4 linked regions of the Saccharomyces cerevisiae S288C genome follow. Changing the gene in region 4 together with the main gene of any one other region gives a genetic interaction. Each region holds a gene or a part of one and is shown on either strand. Other genes may lie near its edges. The genes, in order: BCY1, SIP1, SIR2 and SIP2.

Evidence for each region.
Region 1: mutations in SIP2 (region 4) and BCY1 together harm fitness more than expected from each alone (negative genetic interaction), as found in Saccharomyces cerevisiae (2 studies listed by BioGRID).
Region 2: mutations in SIP2 (region 4) and SIP1 impair growth when combined (synthetic growth defect), as found in Saccharomyces cerevisiae (8 studies listed by BioGRID, with this or other methods).
Region 3: of SIP2 (region 4) and SIR2, changing one suppresses a phenotype caused by changing the other (phenotypic suppression), as found in Saccharomyces cerevisiae (2 studies listed by BioGRID).

What each region holds. Positions count from the first base shown.
Region 1 is NC_001141.2:289,919-293,197, forward strand, and holds BCY1 (cAMP-dependent protein kinase regulatory subunit BCY1), read right to left. Parts: upstream 1,752-3,279; coding exon 501-1,751; downstream 1-500. Other genes in the region: CAP2 (F-actin-capping protein subunit beta), read right to left, coding at 1-171; SUMO protease ULP2, read left to right, coding at 2,715-3,279. UniProt on the Saccharomyces cerevisiae protein: Regulatory subunit of the cyclic AMP-dependent protein kinase (PKA), an effector of the Ras/cAMP pathway. Inhibits PKA activity in the absence of cAMP. cAMP activates PKA and promotes growth and proliferation in response to good nutrient conditions.
Region 2 is NC_001136.10:1,313,232-1,319,756, reverse strand, and holds SIP1 (Sip1p), read left to right. Parts: upstream 1-1,983; coding exon 1,984-4,431; downstream 4,432-6,525. Other genes in the region: DYN2 (dynein light chain), read left to right, coding at 37-59, 140-370; CAD1 (Cad1p), read left to right, coding at 482-1,711; ARO80 (Aro80p), read right to left, coding at 4,865-6,525. UniProt on the Saccharomyces cerevisiae protein: Beta subunit of the SNF1 kinase complex, which is required for transcriptional, metabolic, and developmental adaptations in response to glucose limitation.
Region 3 is NC_001136.10:375,552-380,940, reverse strand, and holds SIR2 (NAD-dependent histone deacetylase SIR2), read left to right. Parts: upstream 1-2,495; coding exon 2,496-4,184; downstream 4,185-5,389. Other genes in the region: peptide alpha-N-acetyltransferase complex A subunit NAT1, read left to right, coding at 1-2,067; spliceosome assembly protein PRP11, read left to right, coding at 4,461-5,261. UniProt on the Saccharomyces cerevisiae protein: NAD-dependent deacetylase, which participates in a wide range of cellular events including chromosome silencing, chromosome segregation, DNA recombination and the determination of life span.
Region 4 is NC_001139.9:94,704-100,044, reverse strand, and holds SIP2 (Sip2p), read right to left. Parts: upstream 2,708-5,341; coding exon 1,460-2,707; downstream 1-1,459. Other genes in the region: chromatin-remodeling protein SPT16, read right to left, coding at 1-1,076; MIG2 (Mig2p), read right to left, coding at 3,039-4,187. UniProt on the Saccharomyces cerevisiae protein: Beta subunit of the SNF1 kinase complex, which is required for transcriptional, metabolic, and developmental adaptations in response to glucose limitation.

The sequences.
Region 1 (3,279 bases), on a different chromosome or scaffold from region 4:
GTTTGAATCGGCGGAATCTTTCTGTGTGGATAGGGGAACGTCTACTGAAGATAGTAAATCTTGTGCCAAATTTGGTTGTAATTCGATCAAGTTGTTTAGATTCTCCTGTAACGTGGTAGGATTTAGCCTCCTAAGAAGATCTAAAGCAGCATCGAATTGAGCATCAGACATTACGGTGGTGATTGTAGAGTTGGAGAGAGTTTTTGTATGTCACTTGATTGAACAGTTCTCCTTTATTTGTTACAAATGCTCTCATTTTTACGTTTTCCGTGGTGAAAAAAAAAAAAAAAAATGAACATATATACATGTAGTAACAGCAGTAGTAGATGAAGAATTTAGAGTTTAAACAGGTAACATAACGCTATAAGGGAAAGGAAAGTGGAGATGTTATACATTATATTTACGTAGACGTTGAAGGAAGAAGAAAGAAAAAGGGAACAGAAGAAGAAGAAAAAGAGAAAGGAAATTCATGTGGATTTAAGATCGCTTCCCCTTTTTACTTAATGTCTTGTAGGATCATTGAGCTTTAATACGTCTACTGCAGGACCCAGTAAACGTTGAAAACCACTTTTCCCCAATGTGGCAACTTTGGTTCTCTTTGTAGCAGTCACAGTGGCCTGTCTGGGCAAATCGTTTAGCAAGGCCACTTCACCGAAATAATCATGGTCTTTCAGTTTATTTATGACACCTTGGCCCTTCTTAGAGACGTCCACAGCTCCGTACTCAATTAAATAAAAGTTCTCCCCTTGATCACCCTCGCGAATGATTGTTTCACCCGGCTGGTAGATCTTGGTATCCAGTGCATCGGCAAGTTTGGCACGGTCGTACGTAGTCAAACTCTTCAAAACTGGCATGCTCTTCAAAAGATCGTCATACATGAGTCTCTTCTTGAAAGAGCTGCCCAAAAGTATTTTTCTGAAGGTGAGCCTGTCTAGAGCCCACAACAAACAGTCGGAGGTTGCTACAACGGTGGCAGCACGAGGGCTGTTGTACATAAGAGCAAGTTCCCCGAAACTGGAGCCTGGCCCGGAAGAGTTGACCTTGTTGTCGTTGACGTAGAAGTCAACAGTACCCTTTTCGACGACATAGAAGTAGTCCCCTTGGTCACCTTGCTTGATTATCGTAGCACCTTTGGGGACGGACTTCTCCTCCAGACAATTTATGACCAGCCTTTTTGAGTCGGAATCCAGCTTGTTGAACAGAAAGTTATTACGGATCGATTTTTCCAGTCTTTGCAATTGCTGCTCGGACTTTTCCTTATAGTGATCTGGAGTCCAATCGTCAAAATTGTTTGGTTGTAAGGTCTCACCACTAACAGAAGTACGCCTTTGGGCGTTGAAGTGCATTGGGAGTGGAGGAGTTGATGTCTTTTCTCTAGTATGCTGTTGTTCTTCCTGTGCTTGCTGGTGAGTGTCCTGTTCGTGCGGGTCTAAATTAAACCCACTTTTAAACACGTTGGAGTGTGGGTCCTCGTTCACAAAGGGGGATTTGAACATAACACTCGATCTGGATCTTGATTGAGATTGAGCTGATTGAGGTCTGGAAAATGACTCCTCTGGTTCCGGAAATAGAACAATGTTCTTTGCCTTAAATTCAGGCTCCCTGGCCTTGAGGAACGCTCTCTGTTGTTCCAGCCTTTTATTGAAATAGTTGGCGGAGAACTGAAGAAAGTCGGACGGATTAGCGGCGTTGATTTCGTTCTGGAACAGTTGCAATTCGGCTTGCGATTCCTTGGGCAAAGAAGATACCATCGTTTATTCTTACTGTTGTCTTTTGAAAATAATCTGCTTGTTGTAAATGATCTTCCTATTTATGTATGCGTGAAATGCGTGTAATGGATGTGATGATAGCGATCGCTTGACTTAGTCGAGGAAAGCGTAAAGTGTCCCTTTTTCTCTTTCCCTTTTCCCTGTTTGTTCAAATTTTCTCTTTTCTACCTTCCTCTTCGTTTTGCTCCTTGCCAGCAAAACGAGGAAGGACAAGAATTTTGGAGAGCGGCGGCGCGGCGCCATAATAAATGCACTTGAGCAAATGCAATAAGTTCAGCTTATGGCTTCTGCAACAAAGAAGAGGTCGGAATCCGAGCACAGTATAATCAATATATTATCAGGCAGAACAAAAGTGGCGGGTATAACACGAAGAAAGAAGGAAGGGTGGTGATTGGGTGCTTTGTTTTTTTCCGCTCGTCGTGGTGGCATGCGCTTTTTTTTTCTTGGGTGAAGATTAGCCGCCGAAGTCGTATGCTCCTCTTTTGAGCGTTTTGAAAGATAGAAAAAAGCTGAGTAAGTAAAATCGTCGGCGGCTAATCTGAAAAGTATATAAAGTCCTTTATATTTTCCACTCGTATTCTTTTCCCTCCTCCTTTTTTTTTTTACTTTCTCACGTATGGCTTGTTTCATTTATTATCAGATCAGTAATCACGTGCCGTGTCGTTAGAAATGACATTTGGTTCTTTGCCTTCTTTGTCCTTTTTCTATCTTCCTACTAAGAGAAACTATTATACAATACAATAAGAGAACATCGTGAAACAACATAAAAGATATCACGTCATCAGAGAGAGATAAAACATCACAACCAATTACATTACAGTGTATTCGTTTCTTCTTAGAGAGAGAAATAAAGAGCGGGATAAAAGGACACTACACAGTATACCCCATACCCAGGTGCAATAATACACGTATATCTATGTTTATTGCACATCAAACCCCACATATATGTCTGCCAGAAAACGCAAGTTTAATAGTCTCAAACCGCTAGACACCTTGAACAGCTCTCGTGCCAGCTCTCCAAGGTCCTCTGCTTCTCTACCGCCCAAAAGATATAACACTTTTCGTAAGGATCCGAAAATCGTTGATCATCTAAACAATGCTTCTACAAAGGATTTCTTACCAGTTTTGAGTATGAACAGCGAGAGTAAGAGGCAGATCGAATTGTCGGATAATGATGTTGATAATAATGATGAAGGTGAAGGCGTCAACAGTGGCTGTTCAGATCAAGATTTTGAACCTTTGCAAAGCTCTCCTTTGAAAAGACACTCATCACTCAAAAGCACTTCCAATGGTCTTTTGTTCCAAATGTCTAATAATCTGGGGAATGGTTCACCGGAACCGGCAGTAGCGAGCACTTCTCCAAATGGCTCAATTATTTCCACTAAACTAAATTTGAACGGCCAATTTTCTTGCGTTGATTCGAAAACATTGCGAATTTATCGGCATAAAGCACCATGCATAATGACTTTTGTCTCAGATCATAATCATCCGAAATTTTCATTGTATTTTC
Region 2 (6,525 bases), on a different chromosome or scaffold from region 4:
TCGAGGAAGAGTGAGGTTTTCTTCCATGAATTGCAGCTATTGTTAAGGCGTCTGACATAGTATGTAATTGTGCCATGATATACATGTTTTGTGTGTGTACATTTGAATATATATATTTACTAACAAGGAGAAAACTTAGACCGACAAGCTGAAAGAGGATATTTTAACCATCAGTAAAGATGCTCTGGACAAGTACCAGTTGGAAAGAGACATTGCTGGGACGGTAAAGAAGCAATTGGATGTCAAATACGGCAATACCTGGCATGTGATTGTCGGAAAGAACTTTGGGAGCTACGTGACACACGAAAAGGGCCATTTTGTTTATTTCTATATCGGTCCACTGGCGTTTTTAGTTTTCAAAACAGCATAAATAGTGTTTCTTCAATAGTTAATCGATAATCAATTACTATTATACTTTCATACGAATGGGGTGTTACTTTTAAGGACGACATATAAGCAATGGAACGACCAGTTAAGATAAATGGGCAATATCCTTCGGAAAGGTCAGCAAATATATTTAGCAGGTGACATGAAGAAGCAAATGTTGCTAAATAAAGATGGAACACCTAAGAGGAAGGTGGGCAGACCAGGCAGAAAAAGGATTGACTCTGAAGCTAAGAGTAGGAGGACTGCCCAGAATAGGGCAGCTCAACGAGCGTTCCGAGATAGGAAAGAAGCCAAAATGAAGAGTTTGCAAGAGAGGGTAGAGTTACTAGAACAGAAAGATGCGCAGAATAAGACTACCACGGACTTTTTACTATGTTCTTTAAAAAGTTTACTGTCGGAAATTACAAAATATAGAGCTAAGAATTCTGATGATGAAAGAATATTAGCCTTCCTCGATGATCTGCAAGAACAACAGAAAAGGGAAAACGAAAAAGGAACAAGTACAGCAGTTAGCAAGGCTGCAAAGGAATTGCCATCGCCTAATTCAGATGAAAACATGACTGTGAACACAAGTATAGAAGTACAGCCGCACACTCAAGAGAATGAGAAAGTTATGTGGAACATAGGCTCATGGAACGCTCCCAGTTTAACCAATTCGTGGGATTCTCCCCCCGGAAATCGAACAGGTGCCGTTACCATCGGTGACGAAAGTATTAATGGTAGTGAAATGCCAGATTTCAGTCTCGATCTTGTCTCCAATGATAGACAGACTGGTCTAGAAGCTTTAGATTACGACATTCATAACTACTTTCCTCAGCACTCTGAACGCCTGACCGCTGAAAAAATAGATACGTCAGCATGTCAATGTGAAATTGACCAAAAGTATCTTCCATACGAGACAGAAGATGATACTTTATTCCCCAGCGTGCTTCCCCTTGCTGTAGGGAGCCAGTGTAATAATATTTGCAACCGCAAGTGTATCGGGACCAAACCATGTTCAAATAAGGAGATCAAATGCGACTTAATAACAAGCCACCTGTTGAATCAGAAATCTCTAGCTTCGGTGCTTCCGGTGGCTGCTTCTCATACTAAAACAATTCGAACCCAATCTGAAGCAATTGAACACATTAGCAGCGCCATATCGAATGGAAAAGCGTCTTGCTACCACATTCTCGAAGAGATCTCCTCCCTACCAAAATATTCATCGTTGGACATAGATGATTTATGCAGCGAATTAATAATCAAGGCAAAATGTACAGATGACTGCAAAATAGTAGTCAAAGCTCGCGACTTACAGAGTGCTCTGGTTAGACAGCTCCTGTAGCATATAAACATATCTTGAGTATACATAATGTTGGATGAGAGCATGTAATATTGATCGCTTTGTACGATGATTATACCTTTTTTGTCTTTTTACCATTGTCTCTGATGGAATACTATTGACAATTAACAATGGTAGATATATCCGATACAAGTGGATACCTACATAAACAAGGTGTCTTACCTAGTGTTTCTTTCATTTGCACTTCTTTTTTTGCGTGTGGACTGACATCTTGGAAAGTTGAACTGTCATATTATATAGTTGTTGCAGCCGCCATGGGAAACAGTCCTTCTACTCAGGATCCATCGCATTCAACCAAAAAGGAGCATGGACATCATTTTCATGATGCATTCAATAAAGATCGTCAGGGAAGCATAACCTCTCAACTGTTTAACAATAGGAAGAGTACTCATAAGAGACGCGCCAGTCATACTAGCGAACATAATGGTGCCATTCCCCCTAGAATGCAATTACTTGCATCTCACGATCCATCGACAGATTGTGATGGGCGCATGAGCAGTGATACTACTATCGATAAGGGCCCGTCCCATCTATTCAAAAAGGATTATTCTTTGTCCTCTGCCGCAGACGTAAATGACACTACGTTGGCCAATTTGACTTTAAGTGATGATCACGATGTGGGTGCACCCGAAGAGCAGGTGAAATCTCCGTCGTTTTTGAGCCCAGGTCCATCAATGGCCACTGTCAAACGAACTAAAAGTGATCTGGATGATCTGTCTACTTTGAATTACACCATGGTTGACGAAACAACAGAAAATGAAAGAAACGACAAACCACACCATGAAAGGCATCGCTCAAGCATCATAGCTTTGAAAAAAAATCTTTTAGAAAGTTCAGCTACTGCTTCCCCTTCTCCAACGAGGTCTTCATCGGTGCATTCAGCATCACTTCCCGCCTTGACCAAGACGGATTCCATTGATATTCCTGTAAGACAACCCTATTCAAAGAAACCATCTATCCATGCATACCAATATCAATATCTCAATAACGACGAAACATTTTCTGAGAACTCTCAAATGGATAAAGAGGGAAACAGTGATAGTGTAGATGCAGAAGCAGGCGTACTTCAAAGTGAAGATATGGTTTTGAACCAGTCTCTTTTACAAAATGCTTTAAAAAAGGATATGCAACGTCTTTCAAGGGTGAATTCCTCTAATTCAATGTATACTGCAGAAAGGATAAGCCACGCTAATAACAATGGAAATATTGAAAATAACACCCGTAACAAGGGAAACGCGGGAGGCTCCAACGACGATTTTACCGCACCTATATCTGCTACTGCAAAAATGATGATGAAACTGTACGGTGATAAGACCTTGATGGAAAGAGATTTAAATAAGCACCATAATAAGACAAAGAAAGCCCAGAATAAAAAAATAAGGTCGGTTTCAAATTCGAGAAGATCCTCATTTGCTTCTTTGCATTCTTTACAATCAAGAAAGAGTATCTTAACAAACGGTTTGAATTTGCAGCCTTTGCATCCACTACATCCAATTATTAACGACAATGAAAGTCAATACTCTGCACCGCAGCATAGAGAAATATCGCATCACTCTAATTCCATGTCGAGTATGTCTTCAATATCATCAACAAACTCCACCGAAAATACTTTAGTTGTTCTAAAATGGAAAGACGATGGTACCGTGGCTGCAACCACGGAAGTCTTTATAGTAAGCACGGATATTGCTTCTGCTCTTAAAGAGCAAAGAGAGCTTACCTTGGATGAGAATGCAAGTTTAGACTCAGAAAAACAGTTAAATCCTAGGATCCGCATGGTTTATGATGATGTGCATAAGGAATGGTTTGTTCCAGATCTTTTTTTGCCTGCAGGAATTTATAGACTGCAATTCTCCATCAATGGTATATTGACTCACTCAAATTTTCTTCCTACAGCTACGGATTCAGAAGGCAATTTTGTCAACTGGTTTGAAGTATTGCCCGGTTATCATACGATCGAGCCATTTAGAAACGAAGCAGACATCGACTCGCAAGTAGAGCCAACACTGGATGAAGAATTGCCCAAGAGACCGGAACTTAAAAGATTTCCTTCTTCCTCTCGAAAATCTTCCTACTATTCTGCTAAGGGTGTTGAAAGGCCAAGTACACCGTTTTCAGATTATAGAGGCTTAAGTAGGTCCAGTTCAATAAATATGCGTGACTCATTTGTACGTCTGAAGGCTAGCAGTTTGGATTTGATGGCCGAGGTCAAGCCTGAGAGGTTGGTGTATTCGAACGAAATACCAAATTTATTTAATATAGGTGACGGCTCTACGATTTCTGTAAAAGGAGATTCTGATGACGTGCATCCCCAAGAACCTCCCAGCTTTACACATAGAGTTGTTGACTGTAATCAAGATGATTTATTTGCTACTTTACAGCAAGGCGGTAATATTGATGCAGAAACAGCAGAGGCGGTTTTTCTAAGTAGATACCCAGTTCCTGACTTGCCCATATACCTGAATTCATCCTATCTGAACAGAATACTAAACCAAAGCAATCAGAATTCAGAATCACATGAGAGGGATGAAGGTGCGATAAATCATATTATACCCCACGTGAATTTGAACCATTTACTGACAAGCAGTATTAGAGATGAAATAATCAGCGTAGCTTGCACTACTAGATATGAGGGGAAATTTATCACTCAAGTAGTTTATGCACCTTGTTATTATAAAACACAAAAGTCTCAGATCAGTAATTAGAATCTCAATTCGCAATGATTCTCACGAACTCTATTAATTCAATTTTTTTCTTTTTGATTCCTATGGCTCCTAGAACGTTTGCATTCCTTTTTTTTTTGTTCTAGTAGGTATTTCACGTCACGTTTCTGGCAATCCACTTCTCAGCATGCGTGGAATATACTTTAACATATCCAACGAATTTGCTGCATATTCTTATGTAATAGATAGCCGTTCCTAATGTGTAATGGCCTGCTTTGTTATAGAAATCATATATAAGTAGTGATTGAGCCGTAAAATCATCTCATATGCCCAATGGAAAACCAGTCATAGTATTATGAAGCATTCGCATTATTATATACCTCCATCTTCCCCTGTTATTCTGTCTTTGTATTTAAAATCATTTTTACGAATAGTGCGGTTGTCTTGGTTGATGACGTAATTCTTTGATATCTACTTATTTACGCGTTATTGGCCTTGAGTTATTAATATCATTATTGATGTTATTACTATTCACGAACAAGTTGTATAAATTTTCGAAATTATTATTATCACCATCTCCACATTGCATATATCGTTGCTCAATAAGTTCTGTCCATGGTTCTACAAATTCAAGCCCGATATCTTCACTAGCACCGAACCAATCTGTAACCTCGTCAGATAGAGATGGACCTTGGAAGAGTTCATTGTTCAGTAACGCTGTTGTGATATCGTTGTTTTGTTCAACAAAAGGATCAACGATACCTTTAGAAGATGTATCATTTGAATTCTGAGAATTGCTATTAATTTCCTCCGTCAAAGGCCTTTCCGAGGGTTCAAAAGTAGTCTCGGTTTTATTATATCCAATACGTTTAGAGAATATTGGCTTCTTAGTTAAGTCTTGTCCCTCCAGTGAGGATTCGCGATTGCTCTCTAGAGGAGTGGTGCCATCTCTTAATAAGGGTGGTCGTTCTAAGTAAGATTTTTTTCGAAGTTTCATCTCTGTACATAAGTACATTAATATGGCTGCGTATCTTTGACATAGATGTAATTCATCTGGTGTAGCTTCTTTCAAAGTAACCGCAGTGTCACGGATGATATCGAATGTTTCGTCAACCGATATTGCACTTAATTTTAAAATGTTTCTGGCATCTGGATTTGTTGCCAGTTCACTACCAGTAAGTGTTAGGTAGCATTTTACTATGAACGCAATGGATCTAATTATTCGTATTACCCATCTTACGGGCATGTATTTTAGCATTCCTTGCCTTGAAACTCGCTTTGCAGAACTCAATATTTCTTTTGCAGATCTGTATGCTAATTCCACATACCTCGCGCTTGTCACAATTTCATTCATATTCAATCTGCTTGTTTTCCCATCCACTTGCAGTGCGAGGGAAAAGATATAAAGTTGACAATAATTGAAATCTGTGATAATACTTTCACCATTTATTCTATCGATGTTATCAAATATTTGTTTTTTGTTCTTCCTATCTGCTAGTGAGAAAGGGACATCAGAAAGGGGTACAAGAAGCTCTCTGTAGTTACTGAGCCAGCCCTCTATCAAGGGAGAAAAAACACTTAGGACAGAGAGGTTGTGTCTCTGATCTGTCGTTGCCAATTTCCTCTTATTCTTCTCACAGTAAATCGTCTCATATGCTATGGATAGGATTCGAATGATCTCTATTTTTGCTCTTTGGGCGAATGAGAATCTTAGTGGAAATGGTGGTATGTGATTCTGTGCTAGATTAGTATCATCTTTTTTATTAGAATAATATAGAACATACTCATCGTTTAAAAACTCCCTCTCCCAATCAGTCAAAAAATTTTTCTCGTTGTCGTGGTCATTTTCTGAGTTTTCAAAAACTCTCTTCCACCTTAGTTTACTTTCTTCATCAGGCAAAATCTCATTCAGATAAAATTTTTCATTCCCAAGGTAATCCTCATTGCTTTCATTTCCATCGTTTTCAATTTTTCCTAAATTCAAGTTTAAAACGCTGAATGATTCTGCTAATAAGGATCTTTGATTCATATTCATAGCACTGGTAGTCTCAGATATATGAGTGACAATGAATACTTTTGAGCTGTTTTCAATGAATCCCATATCTTGCGCCAGCCTTACTGCAGACCCTGTCAGCA
Region 3 (5,389 bases), on a different chromosome or scaffold from region 4:
GTGGCACAAGATGTGAACGGTGAGAGGCAACAAGCTATTAACACTTTATCTCAGTTTGAAAAACTCGCTGAGGGAAAAATATCTGATTCCGAGAAATATGAACACAGCGAGTGTTTAATGTACAAAAACGACATTATGTATAAAGCTGCCAGTGATAACCAAGACAAGTTACAAAATGTATTGAAACATTTGAATGATATCGAGCCATGCGTCTTTGATAAATTTGGTTTATTAGAGAGAAAAGCAACTATTTACATGAAATTGGGTCAATTGAAAGACGCGTCCATTGTTTATAGAACTCTGATCAAGAGAAATCCAGATAATTTTAAGTACTACAAATTACTGGAAGTATCCTTGGGAATCCAAGGTGACAATAAATTGAAGAAGGCTTTGTATGGAAAACTTGAACAATTTTATCCAAGATGCGAACCACCCAAATTTATTCCATTAACTTTCCTTCAAGACAAAGAAGAGCTCAGCAAAAAATTGAGAGAATATGTTTTGCCTCAATTGGAGCGCGGTGTTCCAGCAACTTTTTCCAACGTGAAACCCCTTTACCAAAGAAGGAAGTCCAAGGTTTCACCACTATTGGAGAAAATTGTCCTTGATTATTTGTCCGGATTAGATCCTACGCAGGATCCAATTCCTTTTATTTGGACCAATTATTACTTGTCTCAACATTTCCTTTTCCTTAAGGATTTTCCGAAAGCCCAAGAATATATTGATGCTGCCCTTGACCACACCCCAACTTTAGTTGAGTTTTACATCCTCAAGGCACGTATCCTGAAGCACTTAGGCCTAATGGACACAGCGGCTGGAATTTTGGAGGAAGGTAGGCAACTTGATTTGCAGGATAGATTTATCAACTGTAAAACGGTTAAGTACTTTTTAAGGGCTAACAATATCGACAAGGCGGTGGAAGTCGCGTCCCTTTTCACCAAAAACGATGATTCTGTTAATGGTATTAAGGACTTACACCTTGTGGAAGCTTCTTGGTTCATCGTAGAACAGGCAGAAGCCTATTATAGACTATACCTGGATAGAAAAAAGAAATTAGACGATTTAGCATCGCTAAAAAAAGAGGTTGAAAGTGATAAAAGCGAACAAATTGCGAATGATATCAAAGAAAACCAATGGCTTGTTCGCAAATATAAAGGTTTGGCGCTGAAAAGATTCAACGCTATTCCAAAGTTTTATAAACAATTCGAAGATGACCAGTTGGATTTCCATTCATACTGTATGAGAAAAGGTACGCCAAGAGCCTATCTGGAGATGTTAGAATGGGGAAAGGCACTTTATACCAAACCCATGTATGTTCGCGCAATGAAGGAAGCATCAAAGCTTTACTTTCAAATGCATGATGATCGCTTAAAAAGAAAGTCCGATTCTTTAGATGAAAATTCAGATGAAATCCAAAATAATGGCCAAAATAGTAGCAGCCAAAAGAAAAAAGCTAAGAAGGAAGCAGCCGCTATGAACAAACGGAAAGAAACTGAAGCCAAGAGTGTTGCTGCTTATCCGAGTGATCAAGATAACGATGTATTCGGCGAAAAGTTGATTGAAACCTCCACTCCAATGGAGGACTTCGCTACCGAATTTTATAATAACTACTCCATGCAAGTCAGAGAAGACGAAAGGGATTATATTTTGGACTTTGAATTTAACTACAGAATTGGAAAGTTAGCTTTGTGCTTTGCTTCTCTAAACAAATTCGCTAAGAGATTTGGCACCACGAGCGGTTTATTTGGTAGTATGGCCATTGTTTTGTTACATGCCACAAGAAACGACACCCCCTTTGATCCAATTTTGAAGAAAGTAGTCACGAAGAGCCTTGAAAAAGAGTATTCTGAAAATTTCCCATTAAACGAAATATCTAACAATAGCTTCGATTGGCTGAATTTCTACCAAGAAAAATTCGGTAAGAATGATATAAATGGCCTGCTATTTCTGTATCGCTATCGCGATGATGTTCCGATCGGAAGCTCTAATTTGAAAGAAATGATTATTAGCAGTCTTTCTCCCTTGGAGCCTCACTCCCAGAACGAAATTCTACAGTATTACTTGTAGCCTGCAACTCCTCAATGTGTCAATTAACTCTTACTTAATTTATGTATATATTTTTTATGTATATGCTTATATGCATGCGCATATGCTCATAAAAGATACATTGTTATAGGTCATTTCTTTTCCAAGCTACATCTAGCACTCCTTCCAACCATGGTCCAGGACAGCCAGGACCTTTTCTTGCCAAAATTCTTGCTTTCCCATCTCAGAGAAAAAACGAGGAATTTTTCTTTGTCCTCTTTGGCCGCCAGTTGCGGTAAAATATTTTTTTTCTAGGTCGCATAGTTTGAAAGACTTGTCTTTTTCACCACCCAAGAAAAATATATTTAGTGAAGAGATGTAAAGCCCATTCTCACGTATTTCAAGAAATTAGGCATCGCTTCGGTAGACACATTCAAACCATTTTTCCCTCATCGGCACATTAAAGCTGGATGACCATCCCACATATGAAATACGCCGTATCAAAGACTAGCGAAAATAAGGTTTCAAATACAGTAAGCCCCACACAAGATAAAGACGCGATCAGAAAACAACCCGATGACATTATAAATAATGATGAACCTTCACATAAGAAGATAAAAGTAGCACAGCCGGATTCCTTGAGGGAAACCAACACAACAGATCCACTTGGGCACACTAAAGCTGCGCTCGGAGAAGTGGCATCGATGGAGCTCAAACCAACTAATGACATGGATCCCTTGGCAGTGTCAGCAGCTTCAGTAGTGTCAATGTCCAATGACGTTTTGAAACCAGAGACGCCCAAGGGGCCAATCATAATCAGTAAAAACCCATCAAATGGTATTTTCTATGGTCCCTCCTTCACTAAACGAGAGTCTCTCAATGCTCGAATGTTTCTGAAATACTATGGTGCACACAAATTTTTAGACACTTACCTCCCCGAGGATTTGAACTCGTTATACATTTACTATCTTATCAAGTTGCTAGGCTTTGAAGTTAAAGATCAAGCGCTTATCGGCACCATCAACAGTATTGTCCATATCAACTCGCAAGAGCGTGTTCAAGATTTGGGAAGTGCAATATCTGTCACAAATGTTGAAGACCCATTGGCAAAAAAGCAAACAGTTCGTCTAATCAAAGATTTGCAAAGAGCAATTAACAAAGTTCTATGTACAAGATTAAGATTATCCAATTTTTTCACTATTGATCATTTTATTCAAAAATTACATACCGCTAGAAAAATTTTGGTCCTGACTGGTGCAGGTGTTTCAACTTCATTAGGGATCCCGGACTTCAGATCTTCTGAGGGGTTCTATTCAAAGATCAAACATTTGGGGCTCGATGATCCCCAAGACGTTTTCAATTACAATATATTTATGCACGACCCCTCTGTTTTCTATAATATTGCCAATATGGTTTTACCTCCAGAAAAAATTTATTCTCCATTGCATAGTTTCATTAAGATGCTACAAATGAAAGGGAAATTATTGAGAAATTATACTCAAAACATTGATAATTTGGAATCTTATGCGGGAATAAGCACAGATAAACTGGTGCAGTGCCATGGCTCTTTTGCTACTGCCACCTGCGTTACCTGCCATTGGAACCTACCCGGTGAGAGGATATTTAATAAAATTAGAAACCTCGAACTTCCACTATGCCCGTACTGTTACAAAAAAAGAAGAGAATATTTCCCAGAGGGATATAATAATAAAGTAGGTGTTGCTGCATCACAGGGTTCAATGTCGGAAAGGCCTCCATATATCCTTAACTCATATGGCGTTCTCAAACCAGATATCACATTCTTTGGCGAAGCACTGCCAAATAAATTTCATAAGAGCATTCGCGAAGATATCTTAGAATGTGATTTGTTGATTTGCATTGGGACAAGTTTAAAAGTAGCGCCAGTGTCTGAAATCGTAAACATGGTTCCTTCCCACGTTCCCCAAGTCCTGATTAATCGTGATCCCGTCAAGCACGCAGAATTTGATTTATCTCTTTTGGGGTACTGTGATGACATTGCAGCTATGGTAGCCCAAAAATGTGGCTGGACGATTCCGCATAAGAAATGGAACGATTTGAAGAACAAGAACTTTAAATGCCAAGAGAAGGATAAGGGCGTGTATGTCGTTACATCAGATGAACATCCCAAAACCCTCTAAGTAGAAGGCAATTTAATAATTTAAAAGTGCCAAATTAATATCAATTTACATAGTATGGCAAACAATTTTGTTTTCCTTTCAATTATTGTAGTCAAATATTATTTACATTCTGCTATTTTCATTGTACCGGGTGAAATATTACATGTACCGCCCATCTCACTAAAAAAATGAAAAAAAAAAATCTGCTAAAGACGCAAGGCTCTCACAAATAGCTTAATGTAAGAAGGGCAGGTGGAACAGCAAATTCAAATCATTTAACGCATCCATACATTCAAAATGAACTATTTAGAAGGCGTTGGGTCAAAGAAAGGAGGTGGTGGTATAGCCTCAGAATCTCAGTTTAACTTACAACGAAGGAAAGAAGTCGAATCATTACTTAGTAAAGGCGAAAATGTCCCGTACACTTTCCAAGATGAAAAGGACGATCAAGTAAGGTCCAATCCGTACATTTACAAGAATCATTCCGGTAAACTGGTTTGTAAACTATGTAATACAATGCACATGTCGTGGTCCAGCGTTGAAAGGCATTTGGGTGGTAAAAAACATGGTTTAAATGTGTTAAGGCGTGGTATCAGTATAGAGAAAAGTTCTCTAGGGAGAGAAGGCCAAACAACTCATGATTTCCGACAACAACAAAAGATAATTGAAGCTAAGCAATCTTTAAAGAATAACGGTACGATCCCTGTTTGTAAAATAGCTACCGTGAAAAACCCGAAGAACGGTTCAGTAGGTTTGGCTATCCAGGTAAATTATAGCAGTGAAGTCAAAGAAAATAGTGTCGATAGCGATGATAAGGCTAAAGTCCCTCCTCTCATTAGGATTGTATCTGGTTTAGAGCTATCAGATACCAAACAGAAGGGAAAAAAATTTCTCGTTATTGCGTATGAACCCTTTGAAAATATTGCTATTGAGCTACCTCCAAACGAAATATTATTCAGCGAAAACAATGACATGGACAATAATAACGATGGAGTAGATGAATTAAATAAAAAGTGTACATTTTGGGATGCTATATCAAAACTTTATTACGTTCAATTTTTCTTTAAACAAGCCGAACAAGAACAAGCCGATGTATGACAGTATTATTTTTGGGTAACGTTAATAATCGGCATACAAAACTCTAACCAAATTGGATTATATAATAGCTATTAAGGAAACAATTGTCTTTACAAGAGTTTTTTTTACGAAATTTTCCCATCCAATGT
Region 4 (5,341 bases):
TTGGGCACTAGTTCAGGTTTGGTTTTTTCGATGTATTCTATTACTGATTCATAAACTTCTTTTGGTGTACGGCCGGGCTTCAGAATGTTAGTTACAATTTCTTTTTGCAAAGTTAATAGAAAATCGTAGTTGTTGGCCATTTCTTCAGATGGATCGATCAAAAAGGTCCTAGTAATATTAGAACAATAATTATTGTAACGAATACCACATGAAGCTAAAATACAACCGTTGCCGTACAACTGATCATTGGTAGAACGGGCAGAAACCCTAAGATCAAACTTTTTCCCGGACTGAATGATTGGAGAATAGGTCCAATCCAATAAATCAAAGTTGAATTTGTAGTTTGGTGGGCATAATGCGCTTAAATCGGGACTCAATTGCTTCAAAAATTTCACATCATCAATTTTATTTTCAATTTTGTCTGATAACTTGGCATTGGTGATTTTCAACTCCTCGTCAACTGCCCGAACCATTTCATTGGATAAAAGGTCCATAAATTTGTCCGACCCCTTACTTGAAACGGACAGGAAGGCTTGTTCGTTAACATCCTTCACTTCCCAAACTTTAGAAAGACCCAGCGAAATATCAATGACATTGAATTCGTTCTCCTTCACAGCCGCTTCCCATACTGGGTTCCACTCAGTCATAAATTTACCTTGGTAAGAGTCCTTTTCAGGGATACCCACTGTTTTACCAGCGCTATTGATTAAGGCAATAACGTCATCAAATAACTTTTTATTGAGTTCTGGTTCTTTATTGTTTCTTTGCCACAATTCCAGCGTAATTTTGCTTTCAGGGTCTTTAAATAGATCAATTGCCTTTTGTAAATGCTTGGCCTTGGCAGAACTAGTAATTATAATAACCTTTCCGGGAACTAATGCAATCAAAGTAGCGGGAAATTCGTAACTTAGCAACCAATTATGCAATATGGTCGTCTTCTGGTACGGGTTTTCAGCGTTGGACGAACCTAAAACAAACAGCAGCGAATTTGGAGAACCTTCAAACTCATTGTACTTGGAATACAACAATTCAATCCTTTTCTTAAATACGTCAAAATCAATATTCAGCTCTTCCATATTCACTTAAATACACGAAGCCAGTTCACGAAAGGTGCAATATCAGAAAGGAGTAAAGTTGGAATAGCTGAACTTTTTACCTTTTAGTCCCGTGACTCTCTTAGCTACTTTTATTCCTCTTCTCACCAATATTAAGATTTCAATATTCTTTCGTTAGAAAAGTGGCGATTCTCATTTTCCGAAAAAAAAAAAGATCACGCGACTTCCGGGTATTAGTATCGTGGTTTGTGATAACAATAAGCATTGAGAGTACTGAGCCCATTAGTAAATCATTATGTTATATGCTTCTATATCTCTGCTTACACTAAATTGGAAATAGAAATTAGTGTGCCATAGCTGCCAAAAATATATACAATACGCCTTTAAAAAGTAGGAATCCCGGATTACGAGGACTCTATGGGCGTATAAAGAATCTGGGTGACATATTTCTGTTTATATCGAACGATGGAGGCTACACAAAGTGTATTGTGCTTAATGCTACTAGTAACCAAGTGGTTAAGCACCACATGGTTCGGAATGGGCAGAGCGCCTGAGTTGTTCTCGTTGAACTGGTCTTGCGTGGCATAGTATTTATTCAAGATAACATTCTCCAACTGAGGAGGTAATTGGGGTGGTGTCAGCCATGACGTATCAGTATTGCTTTGCTGACGATCCAAGGTATAATAGTATCGTTCCATGACAGACGGGTCAGTAAACACGGCGGGAATGTCTGTTGTATATTCCAACGGAGGTCTGGGTGACAGATCTTCATGAAACCTTGTATATCCGTCACCAAAATCGTCTGGATCCTTACCAATTTGTAGAGCAATTGAGGATCGATCGCTGGTGGGAGGTCGCATGGAATCTGCTTCCTTGGACCTTATCTTTTCGTTAGTTGGGTTTTTTTCTGGTTGCCTGACTTCTATGTAATTGACGAAGTTTCCCATCTGATCAGTTGCTGTGGGCAGGAAATCACTAACTCTAAGCTCATTATCCACTATAAATCTGAATCTATGTGTGCCTGGAAGCAGCCTTAGCTTCACATGAAATGAGCCATTATTGTCAGAATCAGGTATCAAACCGATCATTTTCCTCCATTTGGTGAATGAGCCTGTCACGTAAACTTTTGAACCACCTTGCTGCCACCTTATCTCCACGGGAACCATTAATGAGCTCTTGATTTCACTTGGACCTCCCGAAGCTTCTTTGGCACGTATTTGCTGTTGTCCCTCCTCTCTGGGCGAAGAATGGCCTGAGCGATCATCATCAGGACTGGCATCTTGCTTGGGCTCTGTCGTCTGGGCAATAATATCTCCCTCTTCATCATCGCTAGTAGACGAAGACCCAGAGTCAGTGTCCACAGCAGTTTCCATAACAGATAGCTTTGGCATAGTGGGCTCGTCCTCATCACGCAGCAATAACGTCGATTTTTTTTTGGTAATAGATCCCTCCCTTGAAGGCTGCCCCGCGTCTTGGGAATCTGAACATTTATTTAAGCTCAGTTCAGTAACTTTCTTGCTCACAGCATCCATTTCTTGCGGTTCGCAGCCTTGAGCATTGCTGGGTTTTTCTCTAACGTCACTCATGATAGGTGCACGACACTTTTTTGTTGTTTGCTTTTTTTGGGCTGGATGACTTGTCGTAGTACCCATAGAAACTTCACTGCTCTCAGTACCCTTCCAAAAGCACAATTATTTCAGATACTTTTCATTTCCCAGGAATCTTGTGGTGTATTTATCCTTTCCCTAAAAGATTTTGACGATCCGAAAACGCAAGGTAAATCTTTACTCGGTCCAAGGGAGCAATATAAAAGACCATGCCGGCCGCAATTCGTATAGGTAAACGTGCTATTCATGACGATGCTAGTTAGTGATATGCATGGTTATCTATTTAATCTATCTATGTAAGTACGCGTTATATGCTAAGTTGTTTCATGACAGTTCGTTAGAGGAAAAATGGTGAGATAAAAAGGGGCCGTAAAGGTTAAACTCTTTTGGGACCGTTGAAAACATCAATTTGTTTCAGTAGGTTACGTACAGGCGGCAATTTTACGCCTGACAATTTCTTTCGGCTTTTGCTAGATTCATGATCTAGCGACTCGTGCTCCTCCTCATTACTACCACTGCTGCTGTTATTGGTATCTTCTTCTTGTTCTTCAGGAATTTCGAATTTTGCTCTTTCCCTCCTAGTCTTGGTGGTGTATCTATTGGAATCTAAATAGACGGACTCAAGTTCTTTGGCCACGGCGAGCTGAGAAGGAGCATTGCTGAAAGGCAAAGAGATAGCGCTGCTGGATGCAGAGGTATGACTGGAATCACTTGGTGAGGATGGTGATTCTATAGTGGTGGAAGGGGCACTTACAGGCGTTCTTTTTTGTAAGGTAGATAATGCAGATGCAAGAGAATGTGCAAAAGTTTTCTGCTGCTTGGCAACAGAAGGGCTGGCAGTTTGATGCTGATACTGCTGTGGGATATGTTGCTGGTGTAAATATCCATCATTCGGAGAGTTTGGCACAGAGCGTGGAGTGTTTACGCGAACATTCATGTTCGAGAAGATAGATGAAACATCACTATTTGACTGTATGGAGCCAATAGAGCTCTGGAAAGAGGTGAATGATTGCGATGGAACTGGAGTGTATGTAGAAATTGGCATAGGAGAAGTTGCAGGCTGGAAAGATGCAGCGGAGGCATGAATGGGGGCTGGTTGGGCCATGATTGGTATCACCATTGGGTGCACCGCATTGGGAGCGTGTATAATGTTACCTCCATTTACTGCCTGAACATTTATGGCCATATTTGCTGGTAGGACTTGCGGTATTGGTTGGTGTATCATCACGCCCGATGCAATGGTAGGAATTCCGCTTACTGTCAAAAACTCCTGTTTCTGTACGCTAGCTTTCTTCAATCTCCTTTGAGATTGCCCTGTATGCGTTCTCATGTGCCTTTTCAGTTCATCGCTTCTACTGAAACTTTTCCCACAACCAGGAAATGCGCAATGATGAGGTTTTTCCCCAGTGTGTGTTCTCAAGTGTCTCTTTTTATGTTCTAACCGATGGAAACCACGGTGACAGGTATCACATCTAAAAGGTCTGTTTTCGTTATCTACTGGGAAATTCGTTTGCTTTTTAGGCATTCTCTTTTTTTATTTTTATTTTGTTTGTTCTCGAGGTCAATAGTCTTAGCGTGAGTTAAAACTTAATTGAGAGTTAAGATAAGCTACACAATGGTAATAGTACAAGGACAAGCACACAATTTGACAGGCAGATCGTAAGTTACTACGTATTATAGACGGGTTTCCCAATCGCTTATATACCAGAAACGCTTTTGACCGGGAATGATTTTCGGAAAAACTTTCTCGCACGGATTATTTACCGTATCCTCGTACGAGATTTTTCTCAGCGGCATATAATTTAGAGTTATTACTTCAGTTTTGCGGGTGCTCCGTGGATGTCTCCGCGGATAAATTTTCGGATGAGCCAAAAAAGTGGAGGCGGGGTTTCTTATCCCGGCTTTTTTTCTTCTTCGTATGAGCCTATCAATCATTAACTGATGGTAATACGCTAACTTCAATGGGGAAAGGGGAGAGCTAGTTGACGCAAGCTCCGCAGGGGCGATAGGGCAACTACAGCACATCGCCACAGCTTATTAATTCGCACCGTGGAGATGATGGTCGCTCGTAAATCAGCTCAGTGAAGATTATCGTTTGCCATCGTGCTTCTCATATTACATATTCAAACAAACTACCACAGAACTATCATTGGGGTAGGTATAGCTCAAATTCAACAAGGCCTGCCTTAAGGGCCATAAACTATTTTATACTTTCTTTGTTTTTACAAGTGGGGGAAAGAAAGAGCGACAACCGATTTTTCTAACCTTCTTGGAACCGAGAACGGTAATTTCCGTAAATAAAACGCAATTACTGTATCGAGCGAGTTTGTTTTCCGAAACACGCTCTAATGTAGATTCGAAAAAATAATGATATCAAAGATGAGTAGGCCAATATGAAAAAATAACAAAAAACTTAGCAACAGAAATTGAATCATTGTCGTACCCCATCCTTGCGTACGTAAACAGCCTTCCTTCTCCTGCCTACCCCTCACGTCGTCTCGGATAAACCTTCAAAACCCGCAATTTCGGAAAAACTTCCAATATAAACCATGACGAAATTTGTATCCGGGAAGGTACGTGAAATACACAGAGCGAACGTTTATAAAACCGTCTAATTCTGCTCATGCGTGCGGAAAAAAACATACACGTGTGTTTTTAGACTGCACAACAACAGAATAT